Rhinolophus ferrumequinum: one gene and its partners. The protein of the gene in region 3 interacts with the protein of the main gene of each other region in a biochemical or structural test. Links are inferred from orthologs where the notes say so. Each region holds a gene or a part of one and is shown on either strand. Other genes may lie near its edges.

What was found.
Region 1: the proteins of BCL2 (region 3) and FKBP8 form a complex in vitro, tested with the Homo sapiens proteins (4 studies listed by BioGRID, with this or other methods). The link is inferred for Rhinolophus ferrumequinum from reciprocal best matches to the Homo sapiens genes BCL2 and FKBP8.
Region 2: the proteins of BCL2 (region 3) and PMAIP1 interact in a biophysical measurement, tested with the Homo sapiens proteins (2 studies listed by BioGRID and IntAct, with this or other methods). The link is inferred for Rhinolophus ferrumequinum from reciprocal best matches to the Homo sapiens genes BCL2 and PMAIP1.
Region 4: the proteins of BCL2 (region 3) and NR4A1 form a complex in vitro, tested with the Homo sapiens proteins (2 studies listed by BioGRID). The link is inferred for Rhinolophus ferrumequinum from reciprocal best matches to the Homo sapiens genes BCL2 and NR4A1.

What each region holds. Positions count from the first base shown.
Region 1 is NC_046301.1:51,275,693-51,282,790, forward strand, and holds the start of FKBP8 (peptidyl-prolyl cis-trans isomerase FKBP8), read right to left. Parts: upstream 3,009-7,098; 5' UTR 2,893-3,008; intron 1,410-2,892; 5' UTR 1,385-1,409; coding exon 1,087-1,384; intron 1-1,086. UniProt on the Homo sapiens protein: Constitutively inactive PPiase, which becomes active when bound to calmodulin and calcium. Seems to act as a chaperone for BCL2, targets it to the mitochondria and modulates its phosphorylation state.
Region 2 is NC_046302.1:48,151,050-48,158,562, forward strand, and holds the start of PMAIP1 (phorbol-12-myristate-13-acetate-induced protein 1), read left to right. Parts: upstream 1-4,499; 5' UTR 4,500-4,688; coding exon 4,689-4,746; intron 4,747-7,513. UniProt on the Homo sapiens protein: Promotes activation of caspases and apoptosis. Promotes mitochondrial membrane changes and efflux of apoptogenic proteins from the mitochondria. Contributes to p53/TP53-dependent apoptosis after radiation exposure. Promotes proteasomal degradation of MCL1.
Region 3 is NC_046302.1:50,485,039-50,492,288, reverse strand, and holds the start of BCL2 (apoptosis regulator Bcl-2), read left to right. Parts: upstream 1-4,229; 5' UTR 4,230-4,379; intron 4,380-4,635; exon of another isoform or gene 4,636-5,225; 5' UTR 5,226-5,375; intron 5,376-5,595; 5' UTR 5,596-5,880; coding exon 5,881-6,444; intron 6,445-7,250. UniProt on the Homo sapiens protein: Suppresses apoptosis in a variety of cell systems including factor-dependent lymphohematopoietic and neural cells. Regulates cell death by controlling the mitochondrial membrane permeability. Appears to function in a feedback loop system with caspases.
Region 4 is NC_046293.1:52,243,575-52,250,884, forward strand, and holds the start of NR4A1 (nuclear receptor subfamily 4 group A member 1), read left to right. Parts: upstream 1-4,292; 5' UTR 4,293-4,478; intron 4,479-7,310. UniProt on the Homo sapiens protein: Orphan nuclear receptor. Binds the NGFI-B response element (NBRE) 5'-AAAGGTCA-3'. Binds 9-cis-retinoic acid outside of its ligand-binding (NR LBD) domain.

The DNA of each region.
Region 1 (7,098 bases), on a different chromosome or scaffold from region 3:
GGGGGGACTCCGGGCAAATCACATCTCCTCTCAAGGCTTTAGTTTCCTTGTCTAGAACCCTGAATTCTGACCTCAGAATGTGACTGGCTCTGAATATAAATGGACAAAGCCAGCCTCCTGCTCAGACATGGAGCAGGGCAGCTCCTACTATCAATAGAGAAAAGCTTCCCAGTATAGCCGAGGAGGCTGTCTGACCGTGGGCAAGTGCCCTTACCTCTCTGAGCCTGTTTCCCCATCTGTAAAACAGGAGTACAGTACAAATTACGTCACGGGGTTGTTGTGAGGATAAGGTAAGATGGTGCACAGGCCTGGCACAGAACTAGTGGGCAGTCAATGTTACCTGGTGTTATTTTTAGAAGTAGTTAACATTTTTATTAGCAATGGAAGTGACATTAATAACTCCTGGTTTATCAGAATCAGTATTATTTGATACTATTGCTTTAGTATCAGTACAAATGGTAGTAGCAATGATGATGTTTTACTCCTTATTCACAGAGAACTAGTATTATTCAGCATATTGCGTATCAGTACTAGTAGCAATATATTTGTATAGTTTCCAGAGTTGCTGTGAGGTAGATTCATAGTGGCAACACCTGTGTGTGTTCTCCTAGGTACTTTCCTGTAGAAAACTAGTTTCTCTACTAGTTTCTTTCTCTGAGCAATTAGAATGCTAATGAATACTATGAACCAGACAGAGGAATGGATAAATTGGGATGTCCCCCAGACTTATGCGATCTCAGGACACATTTTCCAGGGGACGGGTACCTGTCAGACAAATGCCAAGAAAACAAACAATGGAGGTTGGGAGCTGCCAGCGCCTGGTGTGCTGGCTGTGTAGCCCTGGACGAGTGACTCAGCCTCCCTGAGCTGCTGTGTATGTGATAATGAAAGAGGTTCATACACATGAAATGTCTCGAGCACTTGCCTGTGGCTGGTGATCACCGTGGTTACTACATGTTTTACTTCCAACCTACTTCACGTCAGAGATGGGGAAATGAGGCTCAGGGGAGAATGCCTGGGCCAAGGTCACTCCTGAACTGGAGAAGCGGGTCCTGTGGGTCAACCCGAGCCACCCCTGCTCCTTACCCAGGATGTCCAGCCACTCGTCCGGAGCCGGGACAGGCTCAGGCTCGGGCTCCATGGCAGCCAGGAACTCTCGTGCCAGGGCCCCCGGCTGCTCGGTCTCCTCCAGTGAGGGCTGCCCCACATCCTCCAGTGGCGGCAGCTCACTCAGGTCCTCTTCCTCTTCCTCCTCTTCTTCCTCCTCACCCTCTGCATCTTCTACCCCATCCAGCACTTCGAAGTCCTCAAGTGGTGGTACCCCAGCAGGCGGCCGGGCAGCGGGCTCAGGGCCCGAAGCAGAGGGCTCAGCACAGGACGCCATGCTGTTGGGGGGACGGGAACTGGCCCTGGGAGGGGGAATGCATGGGATTTGTGAAAATCCCACTCGGCCCCTCAAATCCTCCTATGTATCCGCTCTCTGCACTGTGGATCATTTGCTATGTGATTCAGGGGCTCCAGGCCTGTTTCCTCATCTGTACAAAGGGTTGAGCAACAACCCTGGTTTGTCCAGAGGATTTAAAGACCCAAGGATCAAGCCCAGGGCATCAGGCTCGAACAGCACTAACTATTATTAGAGCTAATATTTAATCTTCATAAACACTACAGGGAGTAGGAAACATCCCCCCCATATTTTGCAGAAAAGGAAATCGAGGCCCAGAGGGGCAAAGCCATTTGCCCAAGGTCACAGAGCAAGCCAACTCAGAGGCAGGATTTGAACCCAGGGCTTTATCTGATTAAATTCCCAGAGGAGGTGCTGAGTTTTAGGGGACAGTCCCTGACGTACTCGAGAGGCTATTTTTAGAGTTTAAGGGAATTAAATTTTACCAGGGCTCCCCACCTCCACCTGCCCCTTCCCCTAAGGAGAGTCCCATGCTAACTTCCCACCACCCAGAAATCCCAAGCCTTTTCCTTCCAAAACGCTGAACCTAAACCATCACCCCCCACCCCACCCCACACACACACACACACACACCCGCGGCCCCACCCCCTCACCACACCAGAAATCCTGGCCCAAACCCTTCTCTGGGAGCCCTTTATCCTCTCCTCGGTCTTCCTGACGACCCTCCCAAAGTAGGCTTCTTTACAGGAATGATGGATATTCCCACCGCATTCTACAGCCTCTTCCTTGGGCCACCAAAGACTGCCCCCCTTCCCCAGACCCCAAGCTTGGGAAAGCGGCGGGTGGAGGAGGAGGTAGGCAGAGCCGTCATTCTAACGCACAGCATCCCCTATTCCCTCCCTAACCCTCACTTGCCTGCTCCTTCCGGGCTCGGGCCCCTTTTTCTGAGACCCACCTAGCCCCCACCCCCATAATCCCCTGCGCCCGCACAAATAGCCCTCCCCCCTCCCCCAACCACCGCCCCCAGCCTAGGCCAGCTGCCCCCACAGCCGCTCAGTCGCCGGGTAAACACCCCGATGACGGACGACCCCCTCCCGATCTCGTAACACCCTACGCCCTCCAAACGCCCCCGGCCTGGGCCTGGCCCTCCGTCAATCCCCCAACCCAGGCCCCCAAAGTCCCACGCCTGTTTGACGCCACCAGTCTAGGGCCCCTACCCCCCGCACCCCTCGAGCGCCCCCGGCCCTGCACGTCTCTACCAGCGACAACCCCCTAGCTCCCTTCGGCTCCCCCCAAAACCCCCCCCCCGCCGTCTCCGCCGGGCCGCGCCCCCTCGGGCACTCCGACCCCCAGCGGCCCCCCGCTCGCCTCCCCCGCGGCCCTTCGCCCCGCCCATCGGTCGCAGCCCGGCCGCGCCGGCCCCCGGACCGTCCTAGGCCCGAGCAGCGCCCCCGGCCGGCGCAGCCCAGTCGACGCCCCTGGACACGTGCCTCCGGCTCCGGGACCCCCGCCTGGGGTCCTGCGCCCCCCTCCCCGCCCCCAGACGCAGCCGTCGCGCCTCGGGAACTAGGCTCGGGCTCCAGGCCCCGCCCCCACCATGTCGATTGGCCGCCGCCGCCGAGACTGCAGCGCTCATTGGTCTACGCATACATCCGTCTCCAGCGCAGGCACCGCCCCCTTCCTGCTTGTATCCGCGGGGTGTTCTTAAAGGGGTAGAGGCTGCTGCTCTACCGGAGCGGGGGCGGGGGCGGGGGCGGGGTGGAGGTGTCCCTGGATCAGTCTGTTTACGAGTCAGCGCCTCACCGCTGGTGCGACTCACCGCTCCCGTGTAAGCTTTTTCCTGCCCATCTGCGAAATGGGGATGAACACCCCAATCAACGCACTCTCCCCTTGGGGGCTGTTGGGAGGACAGTACTAAATGGTATTTCTTTAAGGAGATCAGGCCTGACGGTCAGGGCGGCTCTGGAGCTGCTGGATAATCTACCTTGAAGCCCTAGCTAGTTATGGATGAGGACCTGAGGCGCCTAAGGGCACACGGTACCCCTTCTCCCCTGTGTGGTCTGTCTAATCTCCGGGAACTTGCCTGACGCATACAGGAGGAGCTCAATAATGGCTAGGTGAGCTACTGAGCGAGCAGGGCCGCTGGGGGTAGTTACTCCTCCCTGTACCTTGTGCCAGAGAGTGATAAAGTGCCCATGGTCCCTGGAGAAGGTGGCTGCCTCGATTAGATGGGTTATTATGGATCTTGTTTTGAAAGGAGGGGCAATTATTCTTCCCTGGCTCTATTTTTTTTCCAGCAGTTACCACCATCCAGAATAATCTTGTTTGTTCTTTTGCTTCTTCTCCTTTCTTCCCAACTCTGCTCCTACCTAAAAGGAATTTTGCTTGATTTGTTCCCCACACACACACCTCCTTGAATGATGCCTAGCACCTATGGGAGTTCAGTAAATGAACTAATAATTGAATAAATGAATGAAACTGGCTTTGGAGGTAGCTAACACTGGAGGAGGTAACTAGTTTTTGGAGGGAACTAACTTGTTAGATCAGTGCTCGGAGGTCATCTCCTACAGGAAGACCTCCCAGACCTCCCCAAGGCAAGGCCAGGTGCCCCAATTGGCTGTTCCTAGACCCATGAACCTCCACTTCATAACTCACTGACTTTTATCCGTGCCATTACTTGCCTTACCTCTGCCCACTAGTCTAGGAGACCCTCAAAGTCTGTAACGGGTCCGTTGTTTCTCACTGTTTCAGTCCTGAGGCCTGCACAGTGCAGAGCACAAAAGGTGGAGGGTGGGAGGACTTGGGGAAATCATTGTGGAAGGAAGGAAGCAGGCTCATCAGCCAAAACAAATGGGAAAGCAGTGAGGATATATGAGGAATTGCCTAGGAAGAATATCAAACCCTGGGTCAATCCCAGTTCTGAGGGACTTGGACTATTACCTGTTCATCTCTGATCTTCAATGTCTTTATCTGCACCCATTCAGCCTTACCTCTTTCATGGGCTAGAGGAATTGTAATAAAAGATACTATACATAAACAACTAAAATAAATATAAACTAATAACATCAACAATTATAACAATAATATCGTGTTTCCCCGAAAATAAGACCTAGCCGGACCATCAGTTCTAATGCGTCTTTTGGAGCAAAAATTAATATAAGCTCCGGTCTTATATAATATTACGTAAGACCCAGTATTACATTATAGTATAGTATAGTATTATATATTATATATCTTATATTACATAAGACTGGGTCTTATAGTAAAATAAGACCGAATCTTACACTAAATTTTGCTCCAAAAGACGCATTAGAGCTGATTGTCCAGCTAGGTCTTTTCAGGGAAACACGGTGACAGCTGAGACTCCGGTGTCACAGGTGTAGGCAAAAACTGTGTATTTAATCCTCCCATCAGCCTTATGAGACAAATACTCTGATATTTGGAATCCACATCATTGGCTACGTACAGAGTTGCAATCGTTACATCTTCCTGGTGAACAGAACTTGTGATTGTTGTGACATGCCCCTCTTTATCTCCATGCTTCTGGCTTTTGAGTGGACTTTGATATTAAGATTGCACACCTATTCTCTTGGTTTATCTTTTAAAGTTTCCATTCTTTTCCACCCCTTATCTTCCACCTTTCGGTACCCTTATGTTGTATATGTGCCTCTTGTAAGCAGAATAGAATCAGGTTTTGTTTTTTGATCCATCCTGCCCATCTTTATCTTTTAATTGGGGCATTTGGTCTCCACATTTAATGTAATTACACACATATTTGGACTTAAATCTGCCCTCTCGTGTTTTTTCTCTGTAATACCTTCTCTATGCTCCTTTTCTCTCTCTTGCCTTCTTTAGAATTCGATGTATGTATTTTGGTAAGACTCTTATTATCCTTATTCTGCAGATGGGGAAATTGAGGCACAGAGAAGTTAATTAACTTGTTCAAGGTCACAGTGATGAAGGGCACAGTGGGCCTGGTATCTTACCCCATTGAGCTTCTATTCCAGCCAGGGAGCTGGATACTGCATAAACAATAATGCAGATAAGTATCTAACTGCAGCTATGATGAATGCTATGTAAGAAATAAAATTGGAAAAAGTGGCAGAGAAAGGTTTCCAGTGCCCAGACTTAGGCCTCCCCCACCACCAATGTCCCCATCACTGGGGCAACTGAGCAGTCACATCATTTCCCACCCTCTCCCTCAAACACACAAAGGAGGAAAATATTTTTCTTGTCTCTACTCCACTGTGCACAAAACATTTGGGGCCAGCCAAGTCCCTTTTGGCCTCAATGTGCAGCCCCCACCTCTTCCGGGACCCTCGTAAATGTTTCCTGGCCTCTAACAGAGCCCAAGGGACCCATTGAAAAGCTTGATTTCTTCAGCCTGGGCCTCTTCTGCTGCAGCCTGCAGACAGAGTCATGGTTCCACTTTCCCCAGCAGCCCCCACCAGTGCTCCCCTCTCAGCACTGGCTGCTACCTGGCTCACTGAGCTCTACAGTTCTTAAAAAGATCAAGTCCAGACTAAATGTTTTCCCACCACCCTGTCTTTGCTCCTGTGATTCCCTCAGCCTTGAATGAAAGTCAGCACCTAGAAAACTCCTAATCCTACCTCAAAACCCCATCCAGACATACTTTCTTCTTTGCCCTTAAAAGGAGTTCTCATACCCCCACTCTTAAGGTTCCTCCAGCTTTGAGTCTCTCCTCCCTCTAACCCAGCAGTGTTCCACTCAGGGTTGGGAGTGTCTGAGTCAGACTCTGTCTCCCTCCATCCTTCAGGGCTAGGCAGGGACTGAGTACTCTCTGGATTCCCAGAATATGGGCCAAATCCAGAGGGGGTGGCTAGAGGGTTACTGACAAGTTTTTTAGACTTTTGAACTAAGTGTTTAAGAGTCCTGGTCTGTATTAACTTTTCAGTGAATTAAGGCAGCAAAACATGCGGGTAATAATACAGTTTACCAAGGGCTTACAGTGGGCCAAGACGTGTAAAGAACTCACCTGCCTGATTTCATAAGGTTAAGCCACTTGCCCAAAGCCATCCAGCTAAGATGTGACAGAACTGGAATTAGAACTCAGATATATCCAATTCCAGAGCTCTTAAAGAGTCTTTCATGTGCCCCAGAGCATGGTATGTGTTTATCTCCCAAGCTTTCAAGAACCTTAAAAGGCAACTGTGGTGATCACCCAGGCTCACAGTTAACAAACTGAGACCCAGAAAAATTAGACGTATAACATACACACATTATAAGACCTCCATAACTAATGATAATGAATTGCTAATATTTATTAAGCAATTACTATTTTGTAATTGCCCCGTTTTGTTTATGGTTTTCAGTATATAGCCAAGGTGACAGATGTAGGAGTAAATATAGATGTGTGTATGCATAGGTTAGTAGACATACTATGTATTTGCTAACTCTGACAGCTGAGAGCGTGGTTAAGCAATGAGCACACCCAGCACCCAGACCTTGGTTTTTAAATACCATTCTCCAAGAACAGGAACCAGTGTCCTTGGAGAAACTGCTGATTCCAAGGATATGCCAAAGCAAACATGGAAAATCTTGTGCCAAAAGTAAGAAAGTACTTACTTTCTTACTTTCTTAGAGAAAGATGGAAGACATATTAAAGAACGTAGGTGATTCACTTAAAGGGGCAGCAAGATAAATAACAGAATAAAATTCTCATGAGTTCAGAGCAA
Region 2 (7,513 bases), about 2.3 Mb from region 3:
CGAATGTGCAGGGTATACATATCTTCTAAACCTGTTCCCTCAGGAGTCATCTTATTTCTTACATTATCTATACTGCTTTTGAGCTTTATTTCAGGCTGCTTAAATCCATTGTCAAGTTTACTAAGGGAATTTTGGTTTCTAAAATGTGCAAATTACAGGGATAGCCAGTTATTTCAGTTGGTTAGAGCATGGTGCTAATAACACCAAGGTTGTTGTTTCGATCCCCGCATGGGCCACTGTGAGCTGCCCGCTCCTTAAAAAAAAAAGAAAAAAAAAGTACAAATTACAAATAGGAGGAAAGGTTTATACGAGTACATAGAACTTTTTAAAAAAGGCAATTGGTAAAGGGAGACGTTATAGATTGAGATGAGTCCCCCCAAAAATATGTTGAAGTCCTAATTCCCCACTATCCCCCACCTGCCAACCTATGAATGTGACCTTATTTGGAAGTAGGGTCTTTGCAGATGTAATCAAGTCAAAATGAGGTCCTATGGGATTGGTGGGGGCCCTAATGCAATGACTGATGTCCTTATAAGAAGAGGTAAATTTGAACACAGACACAAAGAGGGGAAGGTCATGTAAAGACCAGGACAGACATTGGAGGGATACATCTGGAAGTCAAGTGTTGCAGGAACTGCCACAAATTGGAATTGGCAAAGGAGGATTCTTCCCCTGGAGCCCTCAGAGAGAGCATGACACCTTGAGGCTGACACCTCAAGGCTGACACCTTGATTTCAGCCTCCCAGCCTCCAGAACGGTGCAAGAATAACTTTCCATTGTTTTAAAACACCCAGTTTGTGGTGCTTTGTGATGGCAGCTCCAGAAAACTAATATAGGTGAAGATGTCAATTATATTTATGCTGAAAAATATCAAGTCTTGCTCTAATAGAAGGGGGTCCTCTCCCAGTCAGGAAATATGGGAATTTTAATAAGACCGGTTAAAACAGTGAGTTTGCTGACACTACCATCAGGTATGAGAATTCCAGCAGGATCTTCACTAGTCACACTGTCTCCAGTCTCAGCTCAACTAATCTAGTCACACTGCAGCCAGAGTGAGCTCTCCAGAATCTGATCATATCGCCCACCTCCTTAAAACCTTCAGTGGTTCCCCCCGCCCTCACTGCTTCCACAATAATACCCAAATTCCTCAGGCAGCTTCTCTCCCCATTTACTTCTCACCATTTCCCACTGCTCTTCACTCTCCGCAGGGAACACACTTCTTCCCTTCAGCCTCATTGCTTGGCCAACTCCTATTTATGCCTCAGGTGTCTATGTAGACGCCCTTTCTTGCTTAATTGACCTCCCATGGTCTGCCATCATTTCTCTGGCCCAGCTCTAGGCACATCTTGTTGTACCTGCCTGTGTGGTTACCTGTATCAGCCTCTAGCCTTGTCCATAGACCAGAAGCTTCAGCATCACCAGTATGTTTAAGAAGCAGTATGTTAAGACCAGCTAGATCTCCAGAATCAGAAGTGAACTTTAACAAGGCAGTCTTTCGCACCATGCTTTTGTAAGGTATTGCTCTTTTCAACACAGGTTCCATGGGGGCTAGAAAGCACTTTCTCCCCGGAGCCTAACCCAGTGTCTGTCTTAAAGAAAGATTTAACCAATTAATGCATCAGGGTGACTTCGTGTTAACAAACATGCTCTACAGGAAAAAACAAACAAGTCCCCTTTTACAGGAATAAACAGACTTAGGTTTACAGCCTATACATATATATCTTCACTGGCTTCCTTTAAATTTCCCCCTTATTCATCGCTCATATCTTCTTGTCTTCCTGTTAAATCCTATTTTCCACATGAGCTATATGAATGACTATTCTATTATTAATCATGTTTGCTGTTTTGTTTTCCAGTATTTTTTTTTTTAACATGGGAAGTGACAACACAAGCATGACCAGATTTGCATTGTCATTGTTGAACTTGGTCCATGAAAACTTATATCTGGTAGTAGTAGTAGTTTAAAAAAATTGTTGCTCTCACCAGTCCTAAAAACAACAACAACAACAACAAAAACATAATAGGGGATTTTAATGCTTCATGAGAAAATTTTATTTTATCAGTACCAGTGGTCAAAATATCTCCATATTTATATTTCGTGCAAGTTCTCATTAAATGATACATCACTTTTCCAGAGACATACTGGGGGTGCCAAAAAATGTGTACAAGTGGACACTTTGGTCAGCGTTGCTCAAGCAGTAGTTCGCCATAATCAGAAGTGTTGGGACACTGATGGTAACCACTTTGAGCACCTCTTGTAATTGCAGAAGTCAAATGTGACATGTATTCATCTTTGGTTATCGGTATATATTGAGTATTACAATTTTAGTACAGTTTTCCTTTCTTAAAATGTGTATCCATTTTTTGGGCACCCTCTGTGGATAGTTAAGAAAGGTTTTTCACATTCAGCTTCGATTTCCCTTAATAGAATGTTGGGTCTGAAAAAGACTGTGAGGCGTCTCAAACTCATCTTAAAAAGTCCTCCATAAATGGCTGATTTTGACCCCTCTCTGAAGCCCACCTCCCCCCACTTGCTCCTTCCTTTTCTTTCGAATTTGCAATTCTCTAAAAGACACAGCTTGCCTAGGTTTGTGTGGACCACGTGACCAACAAGCTTTTATAATGCTAAGATGACAGGACCGGATCAACACGCCCTTTGTAGGTAAACAATGACATAATTTGTTTTTCTTTTGTTGAATGTTGTCATTGCCTTTCAGCGTCCATGATTGTCTCAGAAGTTTACTAATTTATCCTATCAGAAAGTTAATGATGTTCCTTAAGAGTGAGGTTTATCAGAATAAGCCTCGAGGAGAGCCGCAGTGGTTTTGGGCTCTCCAGCAGCTCCGCAGGGCTTTCTTTGCCACTGGTAGAAAACTCCCGAATTCTCTTAATCCCAAAGTGTTTACCACACTCAAAACGAAGTTGTTTAAACTCAAATCGCAGTTTTGTTCCAGGCTTCCAGTGTTGTCTATGCTTCTGCTGGACCAAGCCAAAATAAATAGTCGAAGATTTGTGTTGATTGAATGATTTCAGGTAAATAAACAAGCTCAACTGCCTACTGGGGCCAGATAATGTAAATGAGAAAACAAACAGCAGGGAGTGTGGCTGACAGGGGCTCCAGCTCCCTAAGGGAAGAAGCACGTTTGGAAAACGGATCGCAGGTTTGTCTGAGTTTCCAAAGGACGCCAGAAATCCAGGGTTTTAATTCAGTCTCTCAATTTTAAATGTTGGTAACCAATGCAAATGTTCACAAGACATTTTGCAGACCAATCCTGTGAGCCAAACATTTCTACTAGGAAGCCACGCAACTCTAAGCAGCCAATTTGCAACCTCTGCATGAAATAGCGGGGCTAACAAGCAGCATACATTTTCTCAGAAACTGATCGCCGGAAGGCTGCAGTGGACAACAGCTCTGGCTCCCTGTGGGCCTGCCTGGGTTCAGATCCTGGCACTGCTCTCTGCCTCCGTGAGCTTGAATAATTCACTTCACCTCGGTAAACCTCAGTTTTGCACCTGTAAATTGCGCAACACCGCTATGGTAAAAACGCCCGTTTCTTGGCGTTGTTTTGAGGACAGGAGAAAATGCCCGCTTAAAAGCCTGAGCGTGCAGCGGCCCTCAATACCTGTTAACCAACCCGAATTACTTCTTTTCATAATAATGGAATTAGTCAAGGGCCAGCCACACATTGTGCAAATTAACTTCGTATTCCCAGGTAGCTCATTCCTCCCTCCACAAAAGCATTTGAAAGTTTTCTGTAGGATAAAGCACTTTTTTTTTTAGGTTACTTAGCATCCGGAATGAGCAACATCGACCTCTCCAGAGAGGAAGCCCCCTGTCTACAAATACACACACACACACACACACACACACACACACCCTTCCTTCCAAATCAAAACAGTGTTTCAATTTGTAGCTAACTTCCCAAGTGTCAATCTGGTACTTTATTTACTCCCATGGCCTCTGGCATCATGCCTTCTGTTATTAAACTTCTCTTCATTGCACTTTCCTGAAACTCCCCACGTTCTCCGAGTGTAAAAAACTTGCCTTTCCAAACTTTTTGGGGGCTTTGTTTACAGAAGTCTATAATTGCCCATTTATGATAAGGACGAAGTTCCCGGCCTCTCCAGCCCCGGCTTGCCTGCTAGGAACACCTTCCTCCACGCCGGACTCCTGGACCCCGCCACCACTGCAGCGGACTCCACCTCAGGTCCCTCGGCCCCACCCCCTCCTCCCTCACCCCGTCTGTGACAGAAGTGATTTCGGGACTGGGCAAGGTCTCGCCCGCCGAGCGCCCTGCACCTCCCGCCGGGGGTCGGCGCCGCCGCGGGTCGGGAACGTGTTCGCGAGGTCGCGCGAGGTGGCGCGGGGTTCCCACACCCCCCTAGGCCAGGCGCGCGCACCCCGGGCCACTGCCGCTCGCTGGGGCGGGGAAAGGGGCGGGCCTGGCGTCTAGTTTCGCTACGTCATCGGGAAGTCCCTGTAAAACGTGAGCGTGGGCTCTTGCTTCTCCCCAGAACCCGAGGTTCTCGGCTACCCACTGAGTGCCGTCTCCAGCCGGCTCCCATCAGGTCCAGCCCGCCCGCCTGGCGCGCAGCTCGCGTCCTGTAGACCCCAGGGTGCAACCCAAGGTTGGGGGACTGAGTTCCCCGGAGGTCTGCAACAGACTTCCCGCCGGCTGCTCGCGGAGATGCCTGGAAAGAAGGCGCGTAAGAACGCGCAGCCGAGCCCCACGCGGGCCCCGGCAGGTAGGGACCAGATGGGGTCCGCGGCGATCCTGGCCGGGGTGGGGGCCGGGGCCGGGGTCGAGATCTCAGTTTGGGTGGGGTCAGTCAGTCTGCTCTGGGCCTCAAGGTCCGGCGGGGTCTGCGTCCTTGCACGTGTTGTAAGGGCGCCTCCTGGAAGTTCTTCAGGGGTTTTACCTAGGACTGTGGAGACGGCGAGGGAGGGAGCCCGGTCTGGGATTGGGATGCAGCTGCATTTTAGCGGATGCAAAAAATCTCCTCTACGCGCGCCTTGTGTCCCTACTTGCCCTGCCGCAGGGCCACCGGTGGGGGGAAAGTGCAAGTGCGAGCGTCGGCTACGAGGAAAAGTCATTATCCCAGCAGGTGGGGAAGGGAGAAGCTCCGGGAGCCGCCTGGCCTCCCAGCACTTCCTAAGGCAGGGCCTCACCCTTCCGAGTCCTGGGGCGTCGTGGGCCGTCGAAGGCCCTGCTCCGAGCCTTAGCACTCGCTTCACCCCCAAACAAAAGCAGTGAGGACGCTTGATAACAGCTCTTCCACAACCGGCTGAAGAGTGGTGGAGGCCGCAAAGAGACCATTGCGTTCGGGGGCCCAGAAAGTCTTGCTTCTTTGTTAAGAGTACATTGTATAACATTTGAAACAATCGATATTAGTTGCGGAGTAGGGATAAAGAGCAGGAGTTGGTCCCCAGTTTTTAAGATCCTTCCATTCCTCCCCTGCCCCCACCGTAGCACCATCAAATAACTTAAGGTCAGCTCCTACCCCACCCCCACCCCTCCACCCCCCGCGCCCTTTTTATAAATCTTATCAAACAAGGCAGTCATCTGTTAAGGGGCAGTAGGAAAAAAGGCAGCAAAGCTTTGGCCTCAAAAATCCGTGTGGGCCATACTGCTATTACATCAGCTAGTAATAGGCCCCCTTTTTAACTTAGTTTCATTTTATAGAGCTCTTGGGACTTGCAAAGGAAGTGGTGCATTGGCAATTTGGCCATGGCTAAGTTGGCACCAGACTGCTCTCTCTGGCTCTTGCTTGGGAGGGAAAAATTTTTCTAAAATCTTTTGTGATGTCCAATAGTCCTGACCATGTTTTGGAAAGGTCTAAACTTGTGCGTAACCTTTACCCAGCCAATTTACTTAGTTCCCAAGAACAAGGAAGAGTAGAAAGGTCCCTCTTAAACTTAATTAGATAGTACTATATGTAAAAGTTGAGATACAAGTGACATATAGCATTGTATTAATTTTAGGGGTACAACATAATGATTTGATATGTGTGTGTATTGTGAAATAATTACCACAGTAAGTTAACATCCGTGACCACACATAGTTACAATTTTTAAAGTACATTTATACATGTGTAACTAACAAAAAGATTAAGGAAACAAATAGGGGCTATTTTCTGCCTTTTTTGGGGGGGGTGAGTGCGAGGGGTAATTTTTCCTCTTATAATTCAGGGCTTCCAAAATTGTATGCAGCGTAAATTTTTTTTAAGGATGGTAGGTTAATATATCCCACTTACTGCAAAGAACATGACTGTAAATACCTCTCAAAATGTTTGACTTGTATCCTATAAAGAATGGCACCTTATGATATTCATTAGGTCTCTTGTTAGAGATTATGAAAATTTCACCCTGCTCTTGTAACGAGAGAATTTTAAAATACACTTTATTATAAATTTACAGCTTTTCATTTTGAGCCTAAATAGGGTCTTTGCAGGGTGTGTTTACAAAATAAAACCAGATTTCAATTTGTAGTCATAATGACTTTTTTTTCCCCTTCCGCCTCCCCCACCCGCCTTCAAGCGGTTGTTTCTCAGTCTGGTTGTATAGGACACAGTTCCCTGGCCCATGCTGGTATCATGAGCCTCGTGCTCCCCCAGGCTGAGGCAGTCAGTCCCCGTAGGTTGGCAGCTCAAGGGGGCTCTTGCTGGCTGCCAGCCTTTCATGCTGCTCATGCTGGCCACCGGGGGCACAAAAGCAGCCCAGCTCTAGGGAGAGCCGTTATTCACAATATTAGCTGTAGAGGGCGCAGCTCACTGGCCCATGTGGGAATCCAACTGGCGATCTAGGCATTAGGAGCGCGGCGCTCCCACCACCTGAGCCACCGGGCTGGCCCATCATAATAACTTTTAATGTTCGTGGTCATGATCTTGAAGTGGACCAAAAGACCCTGAGTCGCTCATTGAAATATCCACAAAATTGAAATTATGGTCAGTATAGATTTGGTGTTAATTTCACTTGCTTAAAAAATTTACTTGGAAATTAGATGATAAGCAATATTTTTCTTAAATTAATATCCAGTTGATTACAGTATCTCCATCCTAAAAAAGTAGTAAATGTGTGAAGTAAATATTACTTATTTTCTGCTTCAGTTGTCTCCGTGAAGGCAGTGGATTGATAGAGGTTGGGTTTGGAGGAAGAATTTGGTTTAGAGTAAAATTTAAACTTCTAAATTATTTTAGAGAATGTGGGGTTAATTTTAGAATATGGTTTTATAAGTCTTTTATGAGAAATTTTTAGAGGTTTTTTAAGTGAGGAAAAGAATACCTTTAGATTTGCCTATAAATGAGGGCATAATTTGAGCTATGTGTTATGGCCATTTAAAAAATAAGTCCTATTGGAAAACAACACTGAAGATTTTAGAATTTGACTTCAGTTCCCCAACCAACCTTAAATGAGATAAAAAAGGATGACATCACCTGAGGCTGCCAAAGTCTCACTGACACGGACTCTGTGGTAATTGACATCTGTTCTGCTGTGTTTGACATATTCCGTTCC
Region 3 (7,250 bases):
AGACAAACAGATATGCAAAGGCAAAAGTCATGAGAGAGCTTGGCATATTCCAGACAGCACACAAAGCTAATGAAGATGCGAGAAGGGAAAGTGGAAGGGCACCCAGGTGGTAGGCTTGGGCCACATCATGCTGTGCAAAAGGAGTTGAGATTTTAGCCTGTGTAGAACTTTGAATGGAAACATGAAATGGCCAGATTTCAGTTTTCGAAAGATTATGGTTCCCCTTGAAATTTAGGGGTTGCTGAGTCCTTGGGCCCTGGAATAAACAATCCTCATTTATTCGAGAGATACCATACTGTGTTTCCCTGAAATAAGACTGGATCTTATATTAAGTTTTGTTCCAAAAGTTGCATTAGGGTTTATGTTCAGAGGATGTCATCCTGAAAAATCATGCTAGGGTTTATTTTCTGGTTAGGTCTTATTTTCGGGGAAACACAGTATTAGATACATACTGTTATGGGTTCAGTTGTGTGCCCTCAAAAGATGTTAACATCTTAACCCCCAGTTCTTGTGAATGTGGCCTTATTCAGAAATAGGATCTTTACTAAAATAAGTAAGTGAAGATGAGGTTATTAGGATCCTAATCCAATATGACTGGTGACCTTATAATAGAAAACAGACACACTGGGAGGCCATGTGACAACAGACGCGGAGATCAGAGTGATGGAGCTGCAAGCCAAGGAACAACAAGGATGGACAGCCACCACCAGAAGCCGGAAGAGGCCAGGAAAGTTTTTTCTCTGGAGCCTTCAGAGGGCCCATGACTCCACTGACACCTTGATTTTGGGCTTTAAGCCTCCAGAACTGTGGGAGAATAAAGTTCTGTTTTAAGTCACCCAGTTTGTGGTATTTTGTTATGCCAGTCCTAGGAAACAAACATATTAACCTTGATTTTTCTAAATGTGTTCGTCAGGAATTAACATCTGGGAGATACTGCGCTGTGTGCTAAATAGCATTATGAGAATAAAAGTTAGTTTTTGCACATTAAGAATGTAAATGCTTTGTCAATTACCCCCTTAGTACTATGGTGTTTCATGTTGTTTGGTTTTATTACTGCAGTTTCGATCCAACGACAGCAGTAGGCGTTTGAAAAATATAAGTTCCTACTCTTATTTCACTTCAAAAGCCAAGTCGTTAATTTGAAAGGAAAAAATTGCCACAAGTGAATTGCTGGCACTTTCCTTTGTAAACCAAAAGTAAACATTATTTGCCCACTGTTAAACTTGCACAAGGAATGATTTATCTGCTTTTCATTGCCTACTTTCAAAGGTTGTTGCTTAATTATTCTAAATATTTTTTGAGGTTTAAGACCCATCATAAATTAGTCAGGTGGGTTTCTCTGTTAAACCAAAGCTTGTTGGTTTAGATTTGGCAAGGGTTTCCCGATGATGCCAAGGATAGTTTCGGGGCGCGCAGCAGATGACTCCCTTGTGATCACTCTTACAGAAGAAAGGCTCTAGAGCATAAGTGAATCAGAAACAGTGTTACTGTTCATATCAATATTAGTAACTAATTAGTAACATTATTATATAATGTTTGCCAACAAAGTATACAAACCCTCTGAGAGTGTGGTACTACTTAGCATAGAGTTTATAATGTATAAGATTTATGCCAATTATATCTCAATAAAGCTGGAACTAATTGAGAAGATAGATATTTGAAATTGGAAATCAGTGTTTTGGATTTTTTATCTAGGTGTGTGAGATGTTATTTTTTAAGTAGTTCATTTTTCTTATTTTATGAAAACGATATAGACTACTTGTTTCTCTCCAGTCAGTTTGTTTTGTTTATGGATTTATTTCCACTTCAGTGTACCTAAATTGTTCGGGTCATGTTTTATATTTTTAACTCTTTCATCTTACCGATTAGGTGTCCACTCCCTTTCAGTTAATGATGACTTTCCTCATTTTAAATAAAAAATTTAATAGTTGGGAAGATTTAATACATACCTATAATAAACACTAGTACATCCAGATTAGAATAATGTTCTTTTTGAATTTCATAAACTTTGGAAATATTTATATTGGTAATGGATGAAGAGAGCCTTCTGAATGATACTGTTAAACATTAACCAGTAGGTGGCGAAAACTGGCAATAAAAAGCTTTTTGTTTGGTAGACTGGAGAATAAAGAGGGAAAACACAGGCCTCCTAGAATCTACCCTCCTAGAATCCAGCCAGGCAGGCAAAGCTGGCAAACGGGTCGTCCATTGGCTCTTAAAAGTGGAAGACATTTTGGGAAATGAAAAGCCCACAGAGCAACATTTGCAGTTGTTGGAAGGTCTCCGTCACAGATCTAGGATTCAAACCCAGGACTCCTGATAGCCCTGTGCTCTGTCACCACCTCACCAATGCCCAGACACAAAGAGTTAATTCACACACTTCTGAGGAAAACACTTGACCTCACTCTTTAAAGTGGAATCTAATAAACATGGAATCTGAATGAAGGGTTTCATTCCTTCCATTGAAAGAGTATCCAGAACCTTCCCAGGGAATATAAACCCTAGCTAAGGACTGTAATGCAGACCTATCCTAAGAATGGTTATGCTCAAGATGCCACATAAGGAATCAGTCTGGGGACATTTGTAAAGTGTGGCTCTAGGGAGCAAAGGAGAGGGAGAAACAAGGAAGCTTTTCTTTCCCTGGGAATGGCGGTATGTTTCGTTCCGGCTGTCCCCTTTGCAGAAGTACAGTCTCTTTTCCAGCTCTGTCCTTTCATTTCCTCACTCAAATGCTGGGTCTCAGAAGCACTAAGGCTTTCAATTCCTCTTAAATCATTTTGGGGGTTTAAGACACGGTTCTGAGAAGATCCTTAAACCAGAATGCTGTGGCATTAGGCGGGTTTCTACTATTTCTGTGGGAATATGTATCTCAGGTCAATCTATACCCAGTGTCTATCTGCAGGCCAGAACACCTCTCCGCCACTGCCGTTGGTAAAGGGGGACTCTGTCACAGCCAACAGAAGACAGAATGGAGCGTCTTCCTTTACTCCCTCTTGCCTAAATGCAAAGTTTAGACCACACACCCATTCCTACATGCAAGAGGTTGGCATGGGGGCTGATTGGGTATGAAAGATGAAGAAAGGGGAATAATTTGCTGTGCTTTTTTTGCTTAGGAATAAATGCTTTGATTTTAGACTAGGAATGAGGCAAAATAGTGTCAGACAGTATATCTGTATATAGTGCAGTGCTCATTTGTCATATTTCTAAGACCACAATTATCCAGTGTCCCTATATATTTGTACTTGAGCCCTATTAAGCAAGCTGCTGTGCTTGTAGTAAACATTTTTTCTCGGGGCTTTATATGTCAAAGACTCTGAGGGATAAAAATAGTTAACGTGCAATTTGATTGTGCTCTTGTGCTTTTCTCCTGGGGCTACCAATGCTGATGAATTAAAAAATGTGTTCTTGTGTGTACATGTGTGTGAAATTGTGTGTATGTGTGTGTGTGTGTGTACAACTGAGAAGGTGTGGCCATCTAGGATTGGCTGCTAGGCGACTGTGGAGGCCTTTAGAGACCCACCCACCCTGGTGTTGGGACTGTGGGCCTAAAGTCGCCCCGTGGACCTCCGCAGCGGACAGTCCTAACTCTGTACCAGGAGCAGAGAAAAAACATTGACAGAACCATTTCAAAGCCCTTGATATCCCCCACTCGCCCCTCCACCGGCCCGCTGAGAGCTCTCTCTGGCCTTGGTCACGGATGGTGTCCCAGAATGTGTTCCGCGTGGACACCTAGGAGGCAACTTTAAAGTAAACAAGACGCTTGGGGCTTCCCTGGCTAATGAATGTGCAGCGTCGCCTCTCTTTACGGGAGGGCAGCGCTGAGGTCCCTGTGCTCGGGTCAGCATCGGCCTCGGTCGTCTCTCAGGCGGCGGCCAAGCGCTGGTAACACGATGTACACACACACGGCTAGAAAGGATCGCAGTTTTTTTTTTTTGTTTTTTTTTCCCGGCGCCCTCCCTGCGCACCCACCCGCCGCCAACCCGGGCGCGTCCCATTTCCCGGGCACCCCCGGCCCCTCGCCGGCCCCCGAGCGCGCGCCCAGCCCGCCGCAGGCCCGAGGAGGCCCCGCGCACACCCACCGCGCCGCGGCCGCGCGGGAGGCCTGCGCCACCCGCGCCACCCACCGGCCAGGCGGGCGGAGCGGCCCGGGAGGGCGGGGGCCGTGCTAGGCGCGCCCTCCCCGGCCGCGGCCCTGCGCGCCATGTGTTCCCTTCCCGGCGCGCCGCTCCCGGCCCGGCAGCGGCTCCTTTAACCCGGGAAGGAGAGCGGGGCGGAGGGGCGGTGGGGCCGCTCAGAGGAGGGCTCTTTCTTTCTTCTTTTTTTTGAATGAACAGTGTGACGTACGTACAGGAAACCAGTCGATTCGAACGGAGAATGAAGTAAGAGGCCAGGCCCCCCCGCCCGCCCCCTTCCTCCCCGCCCCCTCCCCCGCCCGCCGCCCTCCTGCCCGCCCTCCCGCCGCTCTCGGTTTCCCCTTGGAACCGTCGCCGCTGCCAGCGAAGGTGCCGGGCGCCGGGCCCTCCCCACCGGCACGGCCGTCATCGCCGGGAGCGGGTGCGCGGCGGGAGCGCCGGAGACGGCCGCCGCCAGCGCCGCCGCGCAGGAGCAGGAGGAGGAGAAAGGGTGCGCAGCCCGGAGGCGGGGTGCGCCGGTGGGGTGCAGCGGAAGAGGGGGTCCAGGGGGGAGAACTTCGTAGCAGTCATCCTTTTTAGGAAAAGAGGGAAAAAATAAAACCCTCCCCCACCACCTCCTTCTCCCCACCCCTCGCCGCACCACACACAGCGCGGGCTCCTCGCGCTCGGCACCGGCGGGCCAGGCGCGTCCTGCCTTCATTTATCAAGCAGCTTTTCGGAAAAATGCATTTGCCGTTCGGAGTTTAATCAGAAGAGGATTCCTGCCCCCGTGCCCGGCGCGTCCACCGGGCCCCCAGTCCCCGTGTCTCTCCCGGGGAGGCGTGGAGCGGTCCCGCGGATAGGGGTCCATGTCTGTGCCCGCGCGTGTGTGCGCGCGTGTAAATTGCCGAGAGGGGGGAAATCACAAGACTGCAAATACTGGACTGAAAATTGTAATTCATCTGCTGCCGCCGCCGCTGCCTTTTTTTTTCTTTTTTTTTTTTTTCTCGTGCTGGAGATCTCCGGTTGGGATTCCTGCGGATTGACATTTCTGTGAAGAAGTCTGGGAATCAATCTGGAAATTCTCCTAATTTTTACCACCCTCCTCCGCAGCCCCCTCCAACTCCTGATTCATTTGGAAGTTTTAAAGCAGCTATAACCGGAGAGTTCTGAAGATCGATGGACTCTTTGCCTTATGCATTTGTTTTGTTTTCACAAAAAAGGATACTTGACAGAAGATCATGTTGTCCTTAAAAAATACAAGTAAGTTCTTTGCACAGGAAATTGGTTTAATGTAACTTTCAATAGAAACATTTGCGATTTTGTCTTTAAGTGCATTCGAGTAAGTTTAATTTCCGGCCAGTTTAATACATTCTTTTTAGCCGTGTAACTTGTAGTGTGTATGCTCTGCTTTCACCCAGTGTATACAGGAAAATGCACCTGATCTGGACTTATCAGTTTTGTTTTTTTTTTAACCTTTCAGGATCACGAAGGAAGTAGATTGATATTGACAATAAGTAATAATAATGTGCCTCATGAAATAAAGATCCGAAAGGAATTTAAATAAAAATTTCCTGCGTCTCATGCCAAGAGGGAAACACCAGAATCAAGTGTTCCGCGTGACTGACGACACCCCCTCATCCAAGAATGCAAAGCACATCCAATAAAATAGCTGGATTATAACTATTCTTCTTTCCTTCGGGGCCGTGGGGCGGGAGAGGCGGCGAGAGGTGCTGTTGGTACCCGGCTGCTTTTCCTCGAGGGAAGGATGGCGCACGCTGGGAGAACAGGGTATGATAACCGGGAGATAGTGATGAAGTACATCCACTATAAGCTGTCGCAGAGGGGCTACGAGTGGGATGCCGGAGACGCGGGCGCCGCGTCCTCGGGGGCAACCCCCGCGCCGGGCATCTTCTCCTCCCAGCCCGAGCGCACCCCGGCGCCCGCCAGGACCTCGCCGCCGCCGCCGCTGGCTGCCCCCGCTGCCGCCGCAGGGCCTGCGCTCAGCCCCGTGCCACCTGTGGTCCACCTGACCCTGCGCCAGGCCGGCGATGACTTCTCCCGTCGCTACCGCCGCGACTTCGCCGAGATGTCCAGCCAGCTGCATCTGACGCCCTTCACCGCGAGGGGACGCTTTGCTACGGTGGTGGAGGAGCTTTTCAGGGACGGGGTGAACTGGGGGAGGATTGTGGCCTTCTTTGAGTTCGGTGGGGTCATGTGTGTGGAGAGCGTCAACCGGGAGATGTCGCCCCTGGTGGACAACATCGCCCTGTGGATGACCGAGTACCTGAACCGGCACCTGCACACCTGGATCCAGGATAACGGAGGCTGGGTAGGTGCATGTCTGGTTGGATGTGAGTCTGGGCTTCGCGTCTCTGGTCAGGGATGCGGTGGTTGCAGTGTGCGCGTGTGTTCCTGGGCCAAGGGCAGGCTGATGAGCCAGTGACGTAAATCAGGTGTGGTGCTTCCCACCTCTCCCCCTGCAAAGAGCTCTCCCTGCCAACCACACTGTGATCATTCCTTCCTGCCCAAAGTGTTTTCCTTGCTTGTCAGCTGTTGAGGTTCCAAGATCCAGCATTTGCTGTACAGTGAAATCTTGGGATAAATGGTTATCCCTTCAGGGTTTCTCAAACTGGGGGTCCAAGGGTCCCCAGCATCACAGTTTACCTGGCTGGAGTCGGTTATTGAATTCGGGGATTTCAGGGACTACTCATGAACCAGACCCCAGGTTGGGTCCTGGCAATCAGCATCCTAAACAAACTCCCCTGGGGGTTTCTTCTTTGTATTAAAATTTGGGAACCACCCAATTACAAGAACACACTGCACCAGAAAACCTCGGGCGTGCCTTTTCTGACACCCACCTGGTAAAAATCTACCCAAAGCAGAAAACCAGTGTAGCCCCTTTCCCTGGAAAGCATAGCTGTGTTTGTAAAGAGGTAAGTTGACTTTCCAGAAGTCTGGGGACTCCAGCCGGAGTGTGTGCCACATTCCAGTGGGCATCACCGAGTATCTTGCACTGGACGTTGTCTCACCACGAACAGAATTTGCATCGGCTGTGTGCTTTGTGTTCCACTTCTGTAACTGGTGTACGATTTTACAGTTTACTGGAATTTTAGTATCTTTGACTTTTCATCACCA
Region 4 (7,310 bases), on a different chromosome or scaffold from region 3:
CTTTTTCCGCATCCCAGGGCGCCCCCATCCTTGCAGAGTCGTTTATTTGCGTACACCAGACCCAAAGGAAGCAACGCCGACATGGCTGATTTGCATACTCTCGTGCTATTGGTTGGAAGGGCGGCCAATGGTTTGCAGCGGTGTTTGCCCCGCCGCCGCTCTGCACCTCCGGGTGACGTAATGGAAACCTGGCTGGACCCCGCGCGGGCTCCCTTCGGTCAGCCTCTTGACGTAGCGGCTTCCCCAGGCCCCAGCCGGCCCAGCCCGGCCTGGTGCGGGCCAGCGTGGCCACCCCCGGGAGGGCGGCGTGGGCCACTACCGAGGCCATGTCCCTCCAGCGGTGCCCGGCCCTGTTCCTTCCGGCCCAGCGTTCCGGTCCCGGCCCCTTGGGGAGGGCCCACCGCGCCAGATCGGATCTCTGGCGGCAAGGAGAGAAATCTGGAAGCAGACACCAGAGAATTACCAAATTCGGCTCCTCTGGGAGTGGATTACCGGCCTCTCAGTTCGTAAATCACGCGGTTCTGTAACGTTTTGCGTTTGTTTACAACGAGCTTGTTTGACTTTGTAGTTAAAAAAAAAAAGTTACAGAGGATTTCTGTTATTAAAGAGCCTGGCTTGGATTTAGGGTAATCTTGGCATTAATTGCAGCTCTGTCACTTCCAATCTGGTGACTTTGACCACTTTTTCGTTCTGGCCCTGAAGGCCTTCCACGACAACCAGGGAAGAGCAAATGTGGAGGCACTTCAAAAAGAAAAAGCCCCCAGCTGTGCCTTCTCATCCTCGTGTAATTCAGAGCATGTAACCCCATCCAGGTGGAGTCCCTGGAAGGCCCCAATTCCTGGGAAAGCCCCAGGAAGGCCTTGTCCCCCATTTTCTGTGCCCTTTAATTGCTCCTAAGTCTGGGGAGGGGTTGGGGGACCCCAGCCAGGTATTTCTTAATCCTCAAGATGGGGAAGGGAACCTCAAAGGGAATCCCTTCCATTGCCCCTCTCCTCATTCAGGGCAGGGCATAAGTAGGGGAGCCCCTTCAGAGCTCAAATGGGCTGGGGAACCCCGTTGACATCCTTTGACCATGCTCCCACTGGTTCAGGGTGGAGGTGAGGTGGAATGATGTCTCCCTAACTGCATGAAGTTAGATCAAGGGTTTCTGTTTTTGTGACATGGAGGGGCATGAGGAAGAACACTAAGGGTCTGGCTGATTGTCCTGGGGCTTAACCACAAGCTGGATCTCAACCCTGCCCCCATCTCATCCCTATGAGCTTTGAGGTCAGCCTTTCTCCTCCATGTGATGCTCTCCCTTCTCTCTGCCTTTCCTGGTCCTGTCTGTACCTTCATATTATGCCCTGTGTTCTCTTCTTCCAGGGAGCCTCTGAGATTAACTATCCAGATTCCACCCCAATGTCAGCTCGAGGCCTCTTGGAGGCTGCCTCTTGGATCTTCTAGCAATGTTTTCATGACTGTTCTTGTGTCCTGCCTGCCATCAGATTAGGAACCAGCTTTCTGTGGCAAGAACTTGTCCTCTCTTAGGAATTTTCCAGAATGTGAGACAGCCCTGGCCAGGATGTCTGTTTTCCCCTCTAGTCCTAGCTCCTGAGCCATGCAAGTAGTTGACCTTTTCTCTCCTCAGTTTTCCCATCTGCACTAGGGGCTGTGTGGTAATTCCTGGAATTTGTGTAGAAAGAGGAGGGGCTAAAGTGTGAAGGAACAAGATCGTGGGTAAAAACTAGACCACTGGTCTGGGTGTCAGAAGTCCTGGGCTGTGATTCTGGCTGGACCACTGACTAGCTGAGTGACTTGGGTCGAGAAGACAACAAGGGAGTTAAAATTTACCATACAGCTGTAATAACACTAAGACATGACATTGCCCCCATCATCTGTGCAGCTCCTCAAGCCCCCAAATAATGACACCAGCTGGGCAAAGCCAGGTGAGTGCTTTGCATGTGTAGCTTCCAGACAAGTTCCCCAGCTCAGCCATCTCCCAAGTCCTCCTGTATGGAAATGGTAGGTCTGCTAGTATGTGCCAGACTCCTTGCTGCATTCTTTATCTCTACCATCAAAGATTCACTCTTCATGACAACCCTGTGAGATGGTATGTTATCCTCCTGTGTTTCAAATGAAAAAACAGAAGCACAGAGAAGGTGAGTAACTTCCCTGAAGTCACACAGTTGGTAACAGTGGAACCAGGGTCAATCCCAGGCCTCTTGGGCCTGTGATCCTTCTACCACCTCACACCGCCGTCATGAGTCACACAGGTGTGTTTTAGCATTACATATTTTAAGAAATATTTTATTTGATTATAAAACATGAGAGTATAAAATGAAGCCAAGTTGTGCTAAAGTATTTATAGAAGAGAGAGACCTCTGTGGGCTGGAAGCCTTTGTGGAAAAACTGGTAACTGAGCCTTTTAAAAAAATCCTTCCTATCCAAATAAATGTATTTCTCCTACACAGGCAAATATTTTTAAAATGTATTTCAAAAGTTAGATTTCTGGAAAAAGAAAAAGTGGGGGTAGTGGCTTCTTTAAAAAGCCCATTTGGAAGAAACTCTTGGGACAGGAAGGAGAGGATGGTGACAGGGGAGGAAAAAGCCAGTCCATGGCTCCGCCCCAGTGCCATTTTTGAAGCCTCAATTTCTTTATCTCTATTTTGGCCCCGTCCTTGAATCTGGAAGAGAAAAATGAGGGTCCTGAGAGGTGACTTTGAGACAAACCAGAGATTCTTGGGATTATTATGAAGAACGAGAGAAAGGGGCTTCTGAGTTGCCCCAAGAGTTTAGGATGGATCCAAAAAAAAGGATTTCTGGGGGTGGGGACAGGAATTTGGTCCCTGGAATGAGCGCTGAGTTGGGTGGTGAGGCCTCATTTTGAGAGTTTTGAATGCAGAGATTCTGTGCTGCGTGGGGCCTGCTGGATTAACTGGCATACTCTTAATGTAAGGTGGCTCCCACAGGGAGCAGGCGCTGGTGGCTGGTGTAACAGAGCACAGGACTGGGTCCTGCCGAATGGGTGTTCCCCACTGGCCCTGCCTGCCTAGCAGTATAGGGGCAGACATGGTAACCCCAACCCCACCCAGCCCCACTGCTCCAGCCTTGGCCAGGCCTTCCTGAACTATCCACTGCTAAATGGGTGGTTGCTGGGGAAAAAGGATTTGCTCAGAACAAGATGGTTCTCCCATTTCCAAAGAGTGTTCCAATTAGGTGGCAGAGAGAAACCTTCCGAGCACTGCCATCCCCAGAAGGTTCTTACTGGGGAAGCCTGTGCTTGGAGACTATGTTCAAAAGAGGATGAGCCACTCAGGGCTTCCTGGCCACTGGGGTGAGCCTTTGGGTATTTCTTGCACTACGCGCGCTGTCGGATTGGGGAAGTCAGACTCCAAGAGGAGACCAGGGAGGAGAAAGTGTGAGTGTCTACTGTGTACAAGGCACCTCCACAGCTGTTCCATTCTCCCGAAAACCAGAAAAGATGGGTCATATTATCATCCCCATTTTATAGGTATGGAAACTGAGGCTCAGAGTGGTGAAGTGACTTGCCCTAGGTCAGACAGTAGTATAGGAACACCCAGATCTGTGAATCCAACACCCAGGCCTTGTCCCCTTCTGCACTCCCACCTCTGGGAGTGCTTCTCTTCAGGAGAAATTTCACTCCCCCAAGAAGTCCTCTTCTCTGAGACCTGCTGGCTGATTTTCCTGGGTCCTGGGGTCTAACCACTCCGTGGGCACCGTACTAGTTGGGTTCCTTGCCCTCGGGGTGGCATGCAGGCCAAGAGATGCTGTGGGGGGTGCCCAGGGCTCAGAGGCCTGTTCTCTCAGCCTAATTGCTGTGTGACTTTGGGCTGCTGCAGAGCCTCTCTGGGCCTCACATTTTCCACCTCTTTTTCAGGGGAAGCCCCGGGTAAATTTATAACAGCTCCAGGTTTGCTGTCTCGGAAGGTGTTAGCAAGGCCACAGAACCCTCACCTGAAAAACAGCACCCCAGCCCAGCCGCAGCGGGGCGGATTATGTAACCAGGCGCTCTGCGCGTGTGTTGGGGGTGTGGGGGGGGCGCAGGGCGTGGCGCTCACAGTTATTCCGGGCGCCGCTATTTTTAGCCCCATTGATGAGGCTGCGTCGGCCGCCGCCGCCGGGATTCCGGAGACGTCAATGGGTGCACGTCACGGTCCCTGCCCGCCCGCCTGCCGGGGGAGGCGCGCCCCGAGCTGGGACAGAGGCGCGGGCGCCCGCGGGCCGCGGGGGCGGGGGGCGCGGCCGCAGCCGGAACTGCTAGGTGGGGGGCTTCCCCCGGGCGAGGGGCGCGGCGGCGCGGCGGCTCGGCTGCGGGAGCGTGAGGCGGCTGCAGCGGAACTGGTGGGGGTCCCGCGCGGCGCCCGCGACCCCAGGCCTCCAGGCATGGTCGCCTCTGAGGTGCGGAGCGGCTCCCCCGCCGGCTGGTGCGCTAGCTGGGAAGGCGGGGGTGGAGAGGCGAGCCACGTTCGCCCGGCCAGGTGAGCGGGTCGGGGGGGGCGGGGAGAGGTGGTCCCGCAGAGGTCCGGGAACAAGAGGATCTTGCGGTTGCACTGGGATGGGCCGGGGCCACGCCGGGAGTCCTGCTTCGAAGCCGGACAGCGTGGGGGAAGGGACTGGATTCCCAGCGGAACCTGCTACCTCGGAGTCAGCCCCCAAGAACGGCGGCCAATGCTTTCTCTAACCAGCCCGCCAAGGGTGGGGTTTGGCCCGCGAGGGGCGTTGGAGGTGTCTAGGCCGGAGAAATTCCTTCCATTTCCCTGCCGGCTGCGGGGAACGGGTTCCAGGAGTTGGGGAGCGTGGCTGCCAGGACGCCGAGCCGCGAGGCATCAGGATTGCCCGGTGCAGTCCTTTCATGGGACTGAGTTGAGAAACCGAGGCCGAGAAGGGTCTCATGGAGTCAGGAGCCGACCTGAAATTAGAAATGCTGAGGAGGTGGCATTTACAGTCCTTTACAGTGAAGTATCAGTTTGGGTTTGGGGCTACTATTTAAGGGCATGCTGGGAAAACGAAGGCTGGGCATAGGTCGGTGGGTTCACAACAGTTCTGCCCAAAGGATGAAGGAAGACTTAAAAGGGAAGCCAGCTGAATCTTTGTAGTGACCTAGAGCTGAAAGGAGTGACAAGTGTACAGTAGGATAAAAATCAAGATTCCAAATGATGGCAACTGGGCAGAAGGATGGACCAAGACTAACAAGATGAATGTGACTGATTATAAATGTTGAGGCCTGTGCTGGAGTTAAGAAAATTAGCTCAGGAGTTCAGGCCTAGAGCCTGGTTCAGAGGCCCAGCAACCCAGGCCTGGGAGCGTCCCACTTGTTCTCTGGTGTTGGCTGTCAAACTGCTCTGTGCAATCTGAGACCTCTATCCACTAATCAGGTCCAAGGGGGAAAGCAGAATGCGTGGCCCTGGGCTCCCTGGTTGGGCTCCCTGGGTTCTAATCCCAGCTTTGCCACTTCTAGCTGTGTGACCTTGGGCAAGGTGCTTAACATTTCTGTGCCTTAATTTCCTCATTGGTGAAGTGTTCATAATAATAATAATGATAATAATAATAATAATAATAATAATAATAATAACAGTCCCTTCCTCATAGTGTTGTGAGGCTGAAATAAGAAAATGCATGTAAAGTGCTTAATGATGTATCTAGCCCATGGCGTTCAACATGTATTTCCTGTTGTTATCCTTTGTTATATTAAAATGCCCATTTCTGGTTGGAGACTTTGGCCAATGCAGATCTTTTGCCTAGGAGGCCACCAGGGCTGCATAGGGTCTGTCAGTCATGTCCTGTTGCAAGGGGGAGTTTAGTTAAGAAAAGACACAGTTATTTTAGGAAAGAAAAGGGTTTTGGGTGGGCCCATGCAGAGCTGGGACTTAGGGCTGGGGGCTCTTGGGGGTCAGGGTTTTGACTCAGCATAGGGAAGAGCCCTCAGACTTTTAATCTGTCCCCAAATGCAAGGGACAGCTCCTTAGCTGCAATATCCTTCCAAGCTCCCAGCTCAGTTCTAATGCAGGCATGCATGAGTCCTCCTCCTTTTCCATCATTCCACGAATACTTATTAAGTACCTACTAGCGTCAAGCTGTTTTAGAGACTGAAGACTACATCGATCGAGAGAGACAGGTGAACAAATGAGCAGCAGTAGTCCTATGGGGATAACAAAAACAGGTTAATGTGGTGGGGTAGGGTAGAGGCGCTCCAAGGAAATGAGAATGGAAACCTGATTGATGAGGAGGAGATAGCTATACAGACATCCAGGGCAGTGATTTCCTAGCAGAGGGAACAGCCAGTGCAAGGGCCCTGAGTGGGGAAAGAAAAGCCCATATGGCTGGAGCACAGTGAGGAAGAGGGAGCAGGAGGTAGGTACTGATGTCTGGCCTGATGCCGCCACCCCATTTGGAGAGCATCACTTTCTCCTCCTCCGGGCCCACTTAGACTTTGCCATTGATCTTGATTGATTCCCCAGTGTAACCTCCTGGGACCCAGGGATCTTGGTTTGCTGCTTCTTGGGTCTCCCACTAGTCATGGCTAACTGCCCGTCTCACAGGAGGCCCCCGGGAAATGCTTGTAGAATGACTGTAGAGGAGGAGATTTTGATCTAGGACAGGATATGGGATCAGGTACCTGCTCTAAGATGTTAGGAATCACTTTCTTGGCACCACTGGGTCCCTGACTCTGGCTCCTGTTCTCAGACACAGGTGGGGATGACCTGGGCACTCAGGTTGGGCCTGACTGGTAGAAGGGGGGTGAAGGCCTGACATCAGACCCGTTCTGGAGTATGGGGAGATGACCGTCATTCTGGGAGGCAGGTGTAGCCTGTTGGCTAGGGCACGTGTGCGGCCTGATTTTGCCTTCTCTTTGGGGTTGGAAGCCCCCCAGATGTTCCAGATTGCTCTCCCCTCCTTCCCTCCTGTGGCCTTCAGTCCCTGCTCCCAGTATACCCACAGGAACAAAGGGGTGCGGGTCGTTCTGTATGAGGAGAATCTGTGTAACGTGGGCCGGAGGAGTTCCCCTTATCTGTGTAGCTTGGGGCAGAGGTCAGGAGGGCAAGGAATCCCATCACCCATCCTTTGGGGCCCTCTTCCTTCTTACTCCCTCTGCCTCCCATCGTGGAAACATCTACTTCTCTTTTCCCAGGCCTCATCACTGCCCGAATGGCAGCCTGATGACCAGAGAATGCCAACACTTGGCTGCGCCTGTCCTCACTCTGGGGCCCAGTCGAGAGAGGAGAAGGCTGCATAAAGGTGGGAAAAGGGAAGGAGAGATGTGGGGTCTGTGGTGCCTTTGCTGAAGGGGGCTTTGGCACCAGTGGAGTCAG